Linked DNA regions of Macaca fascicularis. Each later gene encodes a partner of the first gene's protein in a complex. Links are inferred from orthologs where the notes say so. Each region holds a gene or a part of one and is shown in the gene's direction. Other genes may lie near its edges. The genes, in order: RAB8A, RILPL2 and RAB3IP.

The links.
Region 2: the proteins of RAB8A (region 1) and RILPL2 are in contact, whole or in part, in a crystal structure (PDB 6SQ2), measured with the Homo sapiens proteins. The link is inferred for Macaca fascicularis from reciprocal best matches to the Homo sapiens genes RAB8A and RILPL2. Residues at the interface, in NP_005361.2 of Homo sapiens: Ile41, Gly42, Ile43, Asp44, Phe45, Lys46, Ile47, Lys58, Trp62, Phe70, Ile73, Tyr77; in NP_659495.1 of Homo sapiens: Leu135, Leu138, Arg139, Leu142, Gln143, Arg145, Asn146, Lys149, Ser150, Leu153, Glu157.
Region 3: the proteins of RAB8A (region 1) and RAB3IP are in contact, whole or in part, in a crystal structure (PDB 4LHX), measured with the Homo sapiens proteins. The link is inferred for Macaca fascicularis from reciprocal best matches to the Homo sapiens genes RAB8A and RAB3IP. Residues at the interface, in NP_005361.2 of Homo sapiens: Lys10, Phe33, Ser35, Thr36, Phe37, Ile43, Asp44, Phe45, Lys46, Ile47, Trp62, Ile73, Ala76, Tyr77, Arg79, Gly80; in NP_783322.1 of Homo sapiens: Ser199, Arg202, Asp203, Gly206, Leu209, Glu210, Thr213, Ala214, Phe217, Glu218, Ala220, His221, Val224, Asn228.

The regions. Positions count from the first base shown.
Region 1 is NC_088393.1:16,440,783-16,444,991, forward strand, and holds part of RAB8A (ras-related protein Rab-8A), read left to right. Parts: intron 1-971; coding exon 972-1,049; intron 1,050-2,881; coding exon 2,882-2,971; intron 2,972-3,494; coding exon 3,495-3,560; intron 3,561-4,209. UniProt on the Homo sapiens protein: The small GTPases Rab are key regulators of intracellular membrane trafficking, from the formation of transport vesicles to their fusion with membranes.
Region 2 is NC_088385.1:130,571,350-130,575,658, reverse strand, and holds the start of RILPL2 (RILP-like protein 2), read left to right. Parts: upstream 1-1,236; 5' UTR 1,237-1,311; coding exon 1,312-1,665; intron 1,666-4,309. UniProt on the Homo sapiens protein: Involved in cell shape and neuronal morphogenesis, positively regulating the establishment and maintenance of dendritic spines. Plays a role in cellular protein transport, including protein transport away from primary cilia.
Region 3 is NC_088385.1:76,563,842-76,568,050, forward strand, and holds part of RAB3IP (rab-3A-interacting protein), read left to right. Parts: intron 1-2,927; coding exon 2,928-3,005; intron 3,006-3,626; coding exon 3,627-3,830; intron 3,831-4,209. UniProt on the Homo sapiens protein: Guanine nucleotide exchange factor (GEF) which may activate RAB8A and RAB8B. Promotes the exchange of GDP to GTP, converting inactive GDP-bound Rab proteins into their active GTP-bound form.

The DNA.
Region 1 (4,209 bases):
CCAGGCCTGGACGTGAGCAGGCCACATGCCTTGGAGCCCAGGATGCCCGGCAACCAAGGGGAACTTGTGATGGCACTGCAGGCTGGCCCACTGTGGGCACTTCACAAGGACATCGAGAACCACACACAGACCGTCAGAGGGTGGCTCCTGCATGTGGGTTCTGGGGCTGAAAAAGGCCCAGGGACATTGCTGAGAGGATAGGTGTCATCAGTGCTTTTGGAGTTAGGCCCCCCAGGCTTGAATCTTAAAGGTCACTTCTCTGTGCCTCAGTTTCCCCTTGCATTGCATGGGCATGTTTGCCCTTGTCCACAGCAGTGGTGTGGCTGTGGACCCAGGCTGAGGCGGGGCTGCCCCGAAGCTCTTTCAGGACCCACGGGCCGTCTCCCAGTTGCTCACATCTAGGTTAGGGAACTGGAAGGGCCTCGGCGCTCCCGGCTCCATCTTCACACAGCTGGTTCCCTCTGTGGTGGGGTCACTGGAAGTTGCGTGGATGTCAGGTCAGGACTCCCTGGGCTCAGTTGTGCCTGAGAGGTGGCTCAGGCAGAGCGTGGGGCGAGCAAGGGGTGAAGAGGAGGCCGATTGCAGGGGAGGGTCAGTGTGAGGGGAGCACTGCTGGCAGTGGGCCTGTGGAGCAGCTCCCAGCATCAGGCTGCACCGCCCCGTGGGCCATGAGGGGAGCCAGCCGGGCTTGTCAGCGAGGGCGTGGCAGCGGCTGGCCTGTGAGGCAGAAGGGTCACTTCAGTGGCCCAGGGGGCAGGACAAGGCTGGTGCCAGAACCCAGCAGAAAGGCCACAGGGATGGAGAGGAGGGGGCTGGTTTCCAGGGCTCCACAGTGGTGGGGAGGGTGGCAGCTAATGGGCCTGGCTGTGTAGTGGGTGCTGGGCTCCCCACCACTGTTCTCTGGTGCCGCCGCGGCCTCCCTTCCAGAGCCTGCAGCCCATCAGGCACCTGTGTCTCCTCTCCCCGCTCAGGGCATCATGCTGGTGTACGACATCACCAACGAGAAGTCCTTCGACAACATCCGGAACTGGATTCGCAACATTGAGGAGGTGAGGCCCGCCAGCACCTCCCACTGTCCCTGCTTCAGTCCTTGTCCCAGAGCCCTCTGGTTTACCCATGAGAAGGCCAAGGTGCAGAGACACAGACAGGCCACTTGCCAACAGCCTCCTAGTCAGGGACACGGTGGGAGCAGGGACTGAGATGCAGGCAGCCGACCCCAGGGACCACACACTGGCCTGGCCCCACCCAGAGCCCCTTGGATCCCACCCCTCCAGCTGGGCTGTTGGATCTGGCCGGTGTCATGGTCATAAGAGAAAGGATATCCAAGCTTGTGGTCACCATGAGTGTTGGGTGCTTTCTAGAGAAGGAAGGGTCTAGCACAGGTGTGACCCTTGTAGTTGGAGGGTGTGGTGAGCAGGCGTCAGTTGTACTTTGAGCTATATCGGAGCAGGGTGTGACCTGGTGCAAACGACCTGTGTTCAGACTTTGAACCATAGAGGGGTGAGAAGGAGGCCAACCCCTCCTCCCCTCCCAAAGCCAGCATCTTCATCTTCCTGCTCCCCAAAGAGCTGACCTCACCCCCAAAGCCTTCCCGGCTGCCGGCACCTGCAGCTTTTGATAACTAACCAGGTGGGGCTTCAGGTCTGAGGCACAGCCAGAGAACTTTTCCCATCTATAAAGCCACAGCAAAAGGGCGTATCACTGTCCACCCAGGACTCATGGACCTCCCAGGCCAGGCCGAGAGGCCACCCCCTCATTTATGAGTCATTGCATTGGGCTCACCTCCCCAGTGAGCCTGAGAGGGCTGCGCCCCAGCTGGGGAAGCTGTCTTCATCTGTGGAGAGGGGAGCCTGGTCTTTGTGAAAGGTCTCTGTTTCTGGCCAGCGGGCAGGAGCCACCTTCTGGTTCATGGGAAGTAAGGCAGGGAGTGGCGCAGTACGTTCCAGAGACCAAGTCTGAGCTGGTGGAGGAAGACAGCAGTTTCCAGTGTCCCTGTCCTCCAGGAAGTGTGGTCTGCTCCATGGGGACCCAGGGAGGCTTGACGAAGGAGCCACCTTTGGGTATGAGGGCAGAGTTAGGGCAGCACCACACAGTGTGGTGAAATGCCTGCGGCCACCTCAAGCACGGCCTGTTTCTGGAGCCCAAAAAGAGAGAGTTGAAATGTCAGGGCCAGGCGTGGTGGCTCACGCCTGTAATGCCAGCACTTTGGGAGGCCAAGGTGGGTGGATCACCTGAGGTCAGAAGTTCGAGACCAGCCTGGCTAACATGGTAAAACTCTGTCTCTACTAAAAATAGAAAAAATTAGCCTGGAATGGTGGCAGATGCCTGTAAGCTCAGCTATTCGGGAGGTTAAGGATCGCTTGAACCTGGAGGCGGAGGTTGCAGTGAGCCAAGATCATGCCACTATACTCCAGCCTGGGAGACAGAACAAGACTCCATCTCAAAACAACAACAAAAAAATGTCAGAGCAGAAGGTCCCAGGACGACAGCTGGGGCCTCTTGCAGAGGAGCTGGGGAGGGAGGGAGGAAAGCAAAAGTCAGGGGTAAATATCTCAGCCTCACTCACCTCCCATAGGCTAGACCCGCCCAGCAGCCCAGGTGCGGGGGCCTGATTGATATAGCCATAGAAGCTGCCAGAAAGCATTTCAGAAAATGTACATTTGCTCAGAGTAGCAGCTAGAACTCTGGCCCCGGCCCTGGCATTGACTGTGACTTGGGGCCAGCTGCTCAGCCTCTCTGAGCTTCAGCTTGTCCCTTACGCCAGGCTGTACCTAGCAGTCCTGACCCCACTGCTCTGATTTCTGGGGACAGGCTGTGTGTTGGCAAAGGCACCTAGCCTGTGTCATCCAGTCTGATCCCCCATCTGCCCCCTCCCTCTCAGCACGCCTCTGCAGACGTCGAAAAGATGATACTCGGGAACAAGTGTGATGTGAATGACAAGAGACAAGTTTCCAAGGAACGGGGAGAAAAGGTGGGCATGGTGGCACAAGGGGCAGAGGGCCTCGGGGTCTTGGGGTTCTTGTGCAGAGGCCTTCCCCGGTGCCTTCCCCTGTCCCTCTCTGCCCCAGGGGCTTGGGATAAGTTGGTCACCCCAGTGGGGCACGTGCCGTGGGATGGCAGAAGCACACACCCAGCCAGGGCTTCTTGGGTGCGCTCTGCGGGCAGCTCATCAAAACCTACCATGGTCCCACTCCAGGCTTTTAAGACCACAGGAGTGGGGAATGGAGCCATGGTTTGATCCCAGCAGGCCCCTGCCCCCCTCCCGTCTCAGCTGCCATCCCCAGCACTCCATGCCCTGCGCGGCACTGTGGAGGGGCATTCACAATGGGCTCCCCACTATAGAATCAAGGGAGCGACCCAGGAAGTCACTGCCACAGCCCCAGTCCCGTTGCTGCTCCCTCTTGGCGCCAGCCCCGCCTTCAGCCCCTGTTTTGGGCAAGCTCAGATGCGCCCGGCAGCTGGTGAGCTCACGCGTGTGCCTCCCTCTCTCACAGCTGGCCCTCGACTATGGAATCAAGTTCATGGAGACCAGCGCGAAGGCCAACATCAACGTGGAAAATGTGAGTCCTGGGCCCTGCTGGGAGACATGGGGCCTGCAGGATCGGCTCCTTCAAGCTGAAGGGGGAGCTGGCGTCCTCCGAGGAGGTCCTGCCAGAGGGACCAGCCTCGGGCTCAGGGCTGCCAGTCAGTCCTCTGAGGGACATTTCCTGGGCAATGCCATGTGCCAGGCACAGGCAGCCCGTGGGAATGTGGTGCCATCAGCACGGGCAGGCCCCACACAGGGCACCTAGGATGCATCTCACGGGCTTCTGGGCAGCCCTGGAGAACAGGCATGGTTTTACAGGTGAGGATGCTGAGGCTCAGAGAGACCCAGCCCTGTGTTTACACTCTCAGCCACACCACTTATTGTGGAGAGGTCCCGGTCAAAAGCCCAGACGCAGCAGGGAGCCCTGATGGGACCTGGGCCCATGCCGCCCTCCCCTCTCCACGGGGTGACCCCAGCCCTGCAGCTGACCCTGTGATGTTTCCCCATCCTAGTCATGTTTCCAAAGCAGATCTTCCACGTCACTCCTGACCTAAAGTCTCTGTGCTGACGTGAAGACAAAAGCTAGACTCCTCGCCTGGCACGGAAGGTCCTCCCTTGCCGGCTACTGCTGGTGTTTGCCACCCAGGACTCAGGCCTTGCCCACCCCCTCCTCCCTCCCAGGC
Region 2 (4,309 bases), on another chromosome or scaffold:
GAGCCTCAACATCCTGGGCTCAAGCGATCCTCCCACCTCAGCCTCCCGAGTACCTGCCACTACAGGCATGAACCACCGTGTCCACCTAATTTTGTTTACTTTTTGTGGAGATAGGGTCTCACTATGATGCCCAGGCTAGTCTCGAATTCCTGGGCTCCAGCAATCCTCCTGCCTCAGCCTCCTAAAGTGTAGAGATTAAGGCATGAGCCACAGCGAATAACTCAAGTTTCTAAGCCACACTGCTAATATTCTCAGTAATATGGATTCTGCATATGTGTCAAATGCTTTGTGATTTTCAGACAGGGGTTTCTCTCTTGTTAATTACGCCTGCTTCTCTCACCCAAGTAGCAAGGTGTCTCCAACACCAGCAATTCCTCCCCAGCTCTGTGGAAGAAAGAATGAAGGATCACAATCACATCTGTAAGTGCTTCCTAAGTGTGTGAGGTGTCACACACATTATCTCATAAGTTCATGTTCCTCGCAGCAACCCTGCCACCTGGGTCCCGCTATTGTCCCCATTTTACAGAAGAGGAGACTGAGGCTTGGAGACGTTAAGTAACTTGCCAAGGTGGCAGCGCCGGTTACGTGGAGGAGCCGAGGACCCAGCGAAGTGAGCAGGGTAGGAATTCCCCATTTTATTGAGAGTCACAGAAGTCAGATGCCCCAGGCCCTAATGATAATTTGCTGGGAGTTTTCCAGATCCTCAAGCCTTGGGGACTCTGTCGCGCTGCCCACAACAGCTGCTTTCTGTTTGGCCGCAGGTTCCAGAAAACTCCCTCAAAGAGAGACCCGAATCTTCCATCACGTACGATGCAAATTCTACGGCTGGAAAGCACGAGAGTAGAAAGGAAAAAGTTGCTTTCTTTTTGCTCTGCTCTCGATTGCGCGGTGGAAACTCGGTCTCCACGGGAACGCGCCTCCCGGCAGCGGTCGCCAGGGGCGGGGCTCAGGGCGGCTCCTCCCCCGGGCTGCAACTGTTCCCAGGCTGGGGGGATTGCCCTCACCCCTGAACTTTCCTCTTCTCGGACGCCCTCCTTTTCTGTTGTCCCTTCGCGCCCCAAACCACAACCTGGAGCGCACTCGCCCGCGCGGCCTGCAGCAGGGACGGTGCGCCAGGGGCGCAGGCCCTAGAGTCGCGTGCGCGGCCCCTTTTTCCCCTTCCCCCCCGCCCCCCCCGGGCCCACCCCCGGGCCGCGCTGATTGGGCAGGTAGGGACTCTGCCCAGCGGAAAGTTTTGGGTGCCGGGAGGAAGTTCAACCTTTGGGAGACTCCAAGAGAGCAGCTCCGGGGTCGGCGGGGGTCTGGGTGGCCATGGAGGAGCCCCCTGTGCGAGAAGAGGAAGAGGAAGAGGACGATGAGAGGGACGAGACTGAGGACGAGGAGAGGGACGAGGCTGGGCCCGAAGGGGCGCTGGGCAAGAGCCCCTTCCAGCTGACCACCGAGGACGTGTATGACATCTCCTACCTGTTGGGCCGCGAACTTATGGCCCTGGGCAGCGACCCCCGGGTGACGCAGCTGCAGTTCAAAGTCGTCCGCGTCCTGGAGATGCTGGAGGCGCTGGTGAATGAGGGCAGCCTGGCGCTGGAGGAGCTGAAGATGGAGAGGGACAACCTCAGGAAGGAGGTGGAGGGGCTGCGGAGACAGGACCCTCCGACCAGCGGGGAGGTGAGTGTTGGGCCCAGAGCGCCTGCGGGGCGTAGGAGGGCGCCTACTAGCAGGAAGACACCTTCTCTTTTCTTTTCTTTTCTTTTCTTTTCTTTTTTCTTTTCTTTGCCTTTCCTTTCTTTTCTTTTCCTTTTTTTTTTTAAAGAGATGGGATCTCGCTGTGTTGCCCAGGCTGGTCTCAAACTCCTGGCTTCAAGTGATCCTCCAGCCTCAGCCTCCTAGAGTACTGGGTTTACAGGTGGGAGCCACCCTGCGGGGCCAGAATCTGTATTTCTAACGAGTTCCCAGTTAATGCTGATGCTGGTGGCCCCGGGTCCAGTTTGAGAACCTTTGACCTAGAGCAACAAACACAATTTTTTTTTTTTTGACACAGGGTCTTGCTCTATTGCCCAGGCTAGAGTACAGTGGTGCAAACATGGCTCACTTACAGCCTTGGCCTCCTAGGCTCAAGCAATTCTCCTGCCTCAGCCTTGCGAGTAGCTGGGAGTACAGGCATGTGCCACCATGCCTGGCTAACTGTTTTGATGTTTTGTAGAGATGGGGGTCTCACCGTTACCCAGGCTGGTCTCAAACTCCTGAGCTCAGGGAATCCTCCCGCCTTGGCCTCCCAAAGTGCTGGGATTGTGGATGTGAGCCACCACACTTGGGCAAGAAACACATTTTACCTAAAGAGAAATTAGTGCATATGACCACAAAAAGACATAGACAAGAAGATTCCGAGCAGCTTTAGTCTCAACTGCTGAACTGGAAACAATCTAAATGCAACCCAGTTTCAGTTTTGAAATTGTGATATATGGAATACTGTGCAACAGAAAAAGAACAGGGTGCTGATACACATAGCAGTGTGAATGAATCTCACAGATGTTACATTGAGAGAAAGAAGCCAGGCACAAAAGAGAAACTACTGTAGATTTTTTTTTTTTTCGAGTCAGAGTCTTGCTCTGTTGCCCAGGTGTAGTAGTGCAGTCACGTGACCTCGACTCACTGCAACCTCCACCTCCTGGGTTCAAGCGATTCTCCTGCCTCAGCCTCCTGAGCAGCTGGGATTACAGGCACTTGCCACCATGCCTGGCTAATTTTTTTTTTTTTTTTTCTTTTTTAGTAGAGACGGGGTTTTGCCTTTTTGGCCAGGCTGACCTCAAACTCCTGGCCTCAAGTGACCCACCCACCTCAGCCTTCCAAAGTGCTGGGATTACAGGCGTGAGCCACCGTACCCGGCCTAGGTTTTTAAAATTCTTGTCGAAACTCATTCATGTTATGACCTACTAGCAGGTCTCCAGCCACAGGTAAAAAAAAAAAAAAAAAAGCTGCTGTAAGTGGACGATGTCTTTTTTAATCCTCACACTATTACTGTTTTACAAAAATGAGGCACAGAACAATTAAGTAATTTGCCTGAGGACTTAACGGCAAGTAAGAGGTGAAGCCAGGATCTTCATTCAGAGATGCTAGCCCTAAATACTCCATCCTAAAATGCAGACATTTGACCTTACTTGTTGTACTAACATTTGATGAGTGACTGCAGTGACTGATGCTAGGCTCTGGGGCTATGGAGATAAAGTAGACAAGGTGCCTGCCCTCAAGAAGCTCACATCTAGTGGGAGAGGCCAGACACACAGTCCTAGAACCAGGACACAAGTATACAAACCGGGCCAGGCGCAGTGGCTCACACCTGTAATCCCAGCACTTTGGGGGGCCGAGGCAGGCAGATCACTTGAGGCCAGGAGTTCGGGACCAGCCTGAGCAACATGGTGAAACCCTGCCTCTACTAAAAATACAAAATTAGCTGGACCTGGTGGCGCACGCCTGTAATCCCAGCTGCTCAGAGGCTGAGGCACGAGAATCACTTGAACCCAGGAGGTGGAGGTTGCAGTGAGCCGAGATCGTGCCACTGGACTCCATCCAGGGCGACAGAGCAAGACTGTCTCAAAAACAAACAAACAAACAAAAACCAAGTATACAAACCAAGGCTGGGCGCGGTGGCTCACGCCTGTAATCCCATCACTTTGGGAGGCCGAGGCAGGCAGATCAGGAGGTCAAGAGATCGAGACCATCCTGGCCAACATACTCCGCGTCTACTAAAAATACAAAAATTAGCTGGGCATGGTGGCACGCGCCCATATTCCCAGCTACTCGGGAGGCTGAGGCAAGAGAATTGCTTGAACCTGGGAGGGGGAGGTTGCACTGAGCTGAGATCATGCCACTGCATTCCAGCCTGGCAACAGAGCAAGACGATTTTGTCTTAAAAAAAAAAAAAAAGTATACAAACCAAGAAGTAAGCCTGGAAAGAGCAGGAACGAGTCACTGAAATTCACAGGGAAGTGTGAAGTTTCCCAGTAGCTTCCCTGGTAACTTTTTTTTCTTATTATTATTAATTGTTATTATTATTTGCCTCATACCTTCTCTGACCCCGGTAGTTTATTTCACCTATTCCTAAGTGATGGTGACAATTGTATTTCTAGATAATATTCTACTTTAGTATCTGTCAAGTGACATGGTTAAGTGTGATGACTTGTAGCCTGGCTTTTGAGAGTCAAGGAAAGTTGAGTGACTTGCACAGGATTGCTCAGCCACATTCTGTGTTATTTTTGCCTCCATCTCCGGGCACAAGAATATGGAGGAAGTCCCATTATGAGCTAAGAATAGT
Region 3 (4,209 bases), on another chromosome or scaffold:
CTCCCCAATGAGATAGCATCCCACACTGGTTAGAATGGCTATTATCAAAATACAAAAGATAGTAAATGTTGACAAGGATGTGGAGCAGTGGAACTTGTCCGCTATTGGTGGAAATGTAAATTGGTACAGCCATTATGGAAAACAGTATGGAAGTTTCTCCTCAAAAAATTAAAAATAAAGCTACTGCATCATCTAGCAATCCCACTTCCAGGTATATATCCAAAAGAAAATTGCTATTTTGAGTTATGTGTACTTCCATGTTCATTGCGGCATTATTCACAGTAGCAAAGTTATGGAAACAAGTTACATGTCCATTGATGAATGGATAAAGAAAATGTGTCAGGAGACCCATCTCACATGCAGAGACATACATAGGCTCAAAATAAAGGGATGGAGGAAGATTTACCAAGCAAATGGAGAACAAAAATAAGAAAATGTGGGGGGTATGTGTGTATATATGAATACTACTCAACCTTAAAAGAAAATGGAAATCCTATGTTTTGCAACAACATGAGTGAACCTGGAGGAAGTGAAATAAGCAAGACTCAGAAAGACAAATGCTACATTATCTCACTTATATGTGGAAGCTAAAGCAGTCGAGCTCATAGAAGCACAGAGTAGACTGGTGGTTGTCAGGAGCTGGGAAATGGGAGAAATGGGAGATGTTGGTCATTGGTACAAAGTATCAGTTATGCAGGATAGATAAATTCTGAAACCCAATGTACAGCATGACTATATTGTATGTGACAAATTTGCTAAGAAGGTAGATCTTGTATGCTCACCACCTCTCGTGTCCAAAAAAAAGGTAACTTGGAGGTGCTGGATATGCTAAAATAAAAACAAAATGATATGTATATTTCAGTGCTCCTATTTATTAAAGCAGCGACACTAATTTGTGTATTGTCTATGGCTGCTTTCACATTGCAACAGCAGAGCTAAGGAGTTGCAATATGTATACATAGTGTTTGACTCTACAGAAAAAGTTTGCCAACTCCTGGTATAGGTGATACTTATATCATTTTCAGCTTCAGAAGGACAGTGTGATGGAAAAGTTTCAAACTTTTTTTGAGTCTACCTTTTGATGTTTTTTGTCAGTTTTTTAAAAATTCTGTAAAAGTTCTGCATGTTATCTTTTTAGCAACTGATCCTGCCCTAGTCTAGTGCTCATCTTTCCTTTTGGGGCTCCAGTTACATGTGTGTTATACCTTTTCACTGTAACCCTTATGTGTGTAGTGGAAAAGTCACCTAAAATTTCACATCACTTCTAAGTTTACTTCACTGTTTTGTTCTCAAATACCTTCAAACACATTTTAAAAACAAACAAAAAACTTGTGTAGCTTTTCTAATCATTCTCCATTTGAGGTTTGGTCCAAACTGTATAATCCACTATTAATGAAAGCAGAGTCCATTTCCAAAAATTTAGTCAACTATTCTCTCCATAGTATGAATTACTTTTGCATTTAAAGTTAAAATGTTACTTATCTTGAAGGGTCAGATTAGCTGTGTTTATTATTTTTAAAACATCACCAAATAGTCTTCTGTTGACAGCCACATATCCCAGAAAAATTCAGCAAATCTGAAACAATTGTTACTTTTAAAGGGAGACTATTTAACTCATTAAATTTGACAGCTCTTAAGGACTTTGCCAAGATAGCCAGAATAATAGTGCATGGAATATCTTCATGGTTAATATAATTTTGTTATAAATCATTGATAGTAAAGATTCTCCTATTTAAACTAATATAAGCTGCAAATTCACATTCAGGGGCACATGCAAACTACAATCATTACAGTAGTGTAAAAGCAGATGAACAAATGGGAAACAGTCAAACTCTGATGTAAAGAACTTCCACCTTTCCATTCTACCTCTGTGCATAGACCTAGTGAGGGTGCCATTGTCAAACTATTCATTAAATATCTTTGAAGCTCATTTTCTTCCTTCCTCTGATAAATTGTGAATTGAAGTTCTAAAATGTAAGTTCTTAAATCCCAGGGCACTATCTCAAGCACCCTATATATATGTTTCCATTCTTAATCCCTTATAGGGATTATTCTATACAAGGGCATAATCTTTTAAAAATAAAAAGATCATGTCTTCCTTAACAAAACTGTAAGACTTCCTTAGAAAAACTGTAAGGCTTCATATTGCATTTAGAATAAAACCTGCAATTCTTACCCTGATATTTTATTTGATTAATCAGAATGTAAGCTCCTTAAGAGCAGGGACTTTGTCCTTTCCCAGAATGTAATCAGCATCTGGAGCAGCACCTCACGAGGAGATGACATGAGTAAATGTCTCATGAATAAACATTATATGAATAAAATGAATTAAATGCCTAGAGTTTCATATTTGTAGTACTGAAAGATTAAAAATCTATTAAAGGGTAAACTCTGATTTGCCTTTTTAGGTTGCTCTGCACAGAACAACACTTATACTAAGTGACGTGTATAATTTTGTGAATCTTTTTATTAAAAGCTCTAAGGCGGCTTAACTGTCATTACTGTAAACTGCAACATTATTGGTGTGTTAATGTTTTTACTTGTCCCTCCTGTATGTCTTTGCTATGACTAATAAGAATATATATAGTGACCACATTATAAAAAGCTGACTGCAAAGGAGGTGGCTTTGACATGTTGGTCATTGTTTGCCTTCATCACATTTACAGTCCTTATGCAAGCATTAATCAGGATGATTGATCTCAACTTGGCTGCCTCGGTGGTAATAGGTCCTAAAAGAAGGCACCTATTCCTAATGCCTCATAGTTGTCTCTCTGTTGTCAACTGCTGCTTCCATAGTTGATATTGAGTACTTATTTTGGGGCTAAATTCTGGTAGTATATGTTTGCTTCAATCATAAACACTTGGCAAAAGCTTTTTGAAAACAAATGCTACTTTGTTTCTAAAATGTGAGATGTTAACTTTTTCAGGAAGCTCATAAAATGGTGAGAGAAGCAAATATCAAGCAGGCAACAGCAGAAAAACAGCTAAAAGAAGCACAAGGAAAAGTAAGTTTTTGCTGCTCTTAATAGTATAAAATAGTGGTGACTGTTTTAAAGATACCTTAACATCTGTTGGATTTTATTCTGATTGTAAAGTAGTGCTTGTTTTCAATTTGGAAACTACAGAAAAATAGAATAAAATAGCTACTATGTAGATATAATTAATAGTAAACATTTGGTGTCCATTTATATGAGAACCAAATGATTTAAAGCCTTGTAAATCACATGAATTATCCAAAGGATTATAGAATCACATTTTAATGTTAATACTTAGTTTTTAAATTCACTGAGAAAAGCCACCTAAATGTTATTAGATTTTACTGTTTTAGGAGTGAACTTCTACAACTAGTCATAAGCTATTGTATTTTGAAGATTTTGAAAATTCACATAAATGTTAGCTATTATGGTAATTTTCAAAATTTGATTTGACATTGTGAATAATAGATGAATCCAAACCATATGGAAACATCGAAAAACTTGATTTTAGTTTCTCTTTATTACTCCACAGGACATACAAATTACACTTACTTTTCATCTTTGAAAGTGTTTTGACCAGATTGCTAATATTTAGCTGCATTTGTCATGAAACATATTTAATGTATGTGACTATGTTGATTTCTTTCCAAGATTGATGTACTTCAAGCTGAAGTAGCTGCATTGAAGACACTTGTATTGTCCAGTTCTCCAACATCACCTACGCAAGAGCCTTTGCCAGGTGGAAAGACACCTTTTAAAAAGGGGCATACAAGAAATAAAAGCACAAGCAGTGCTATGAGTGGCAGTCATCAGGACCTCAGTGTGATACAGCCAATTGTAAAAGACTGCAAAGAGGTAACTCGTCAAGGACTGTCCCCTCTGACTCTGTTGATACTTGTTAATTCTCATCACTGAGGTGTCAGTTATCATTTTTGCCAGCAAAATTTTTAGTACAAAATATTCAGTATTAAGATGGGGGAGGCTTTATCTAGAGCTGGCTGCTTTCAGGGATTCTTCAGTTCCATTTTCTACCTGGCTGACCTTGGAGTACCTGCTAGAAACTTGGTAAGTTTCTTAATCTCAATATTTCATTAAGGGAGGAAACTGTCATGTGTTGTCTAGAGGAGAGTGGGTGGCTTTAATGATCTGGCTAGTCAATGTTTATTGCTAGAGTGCACTTACAAAGTGTGGATATAAGAAATATGTGAAAATAAGATTATTTTCTTAAAGATCA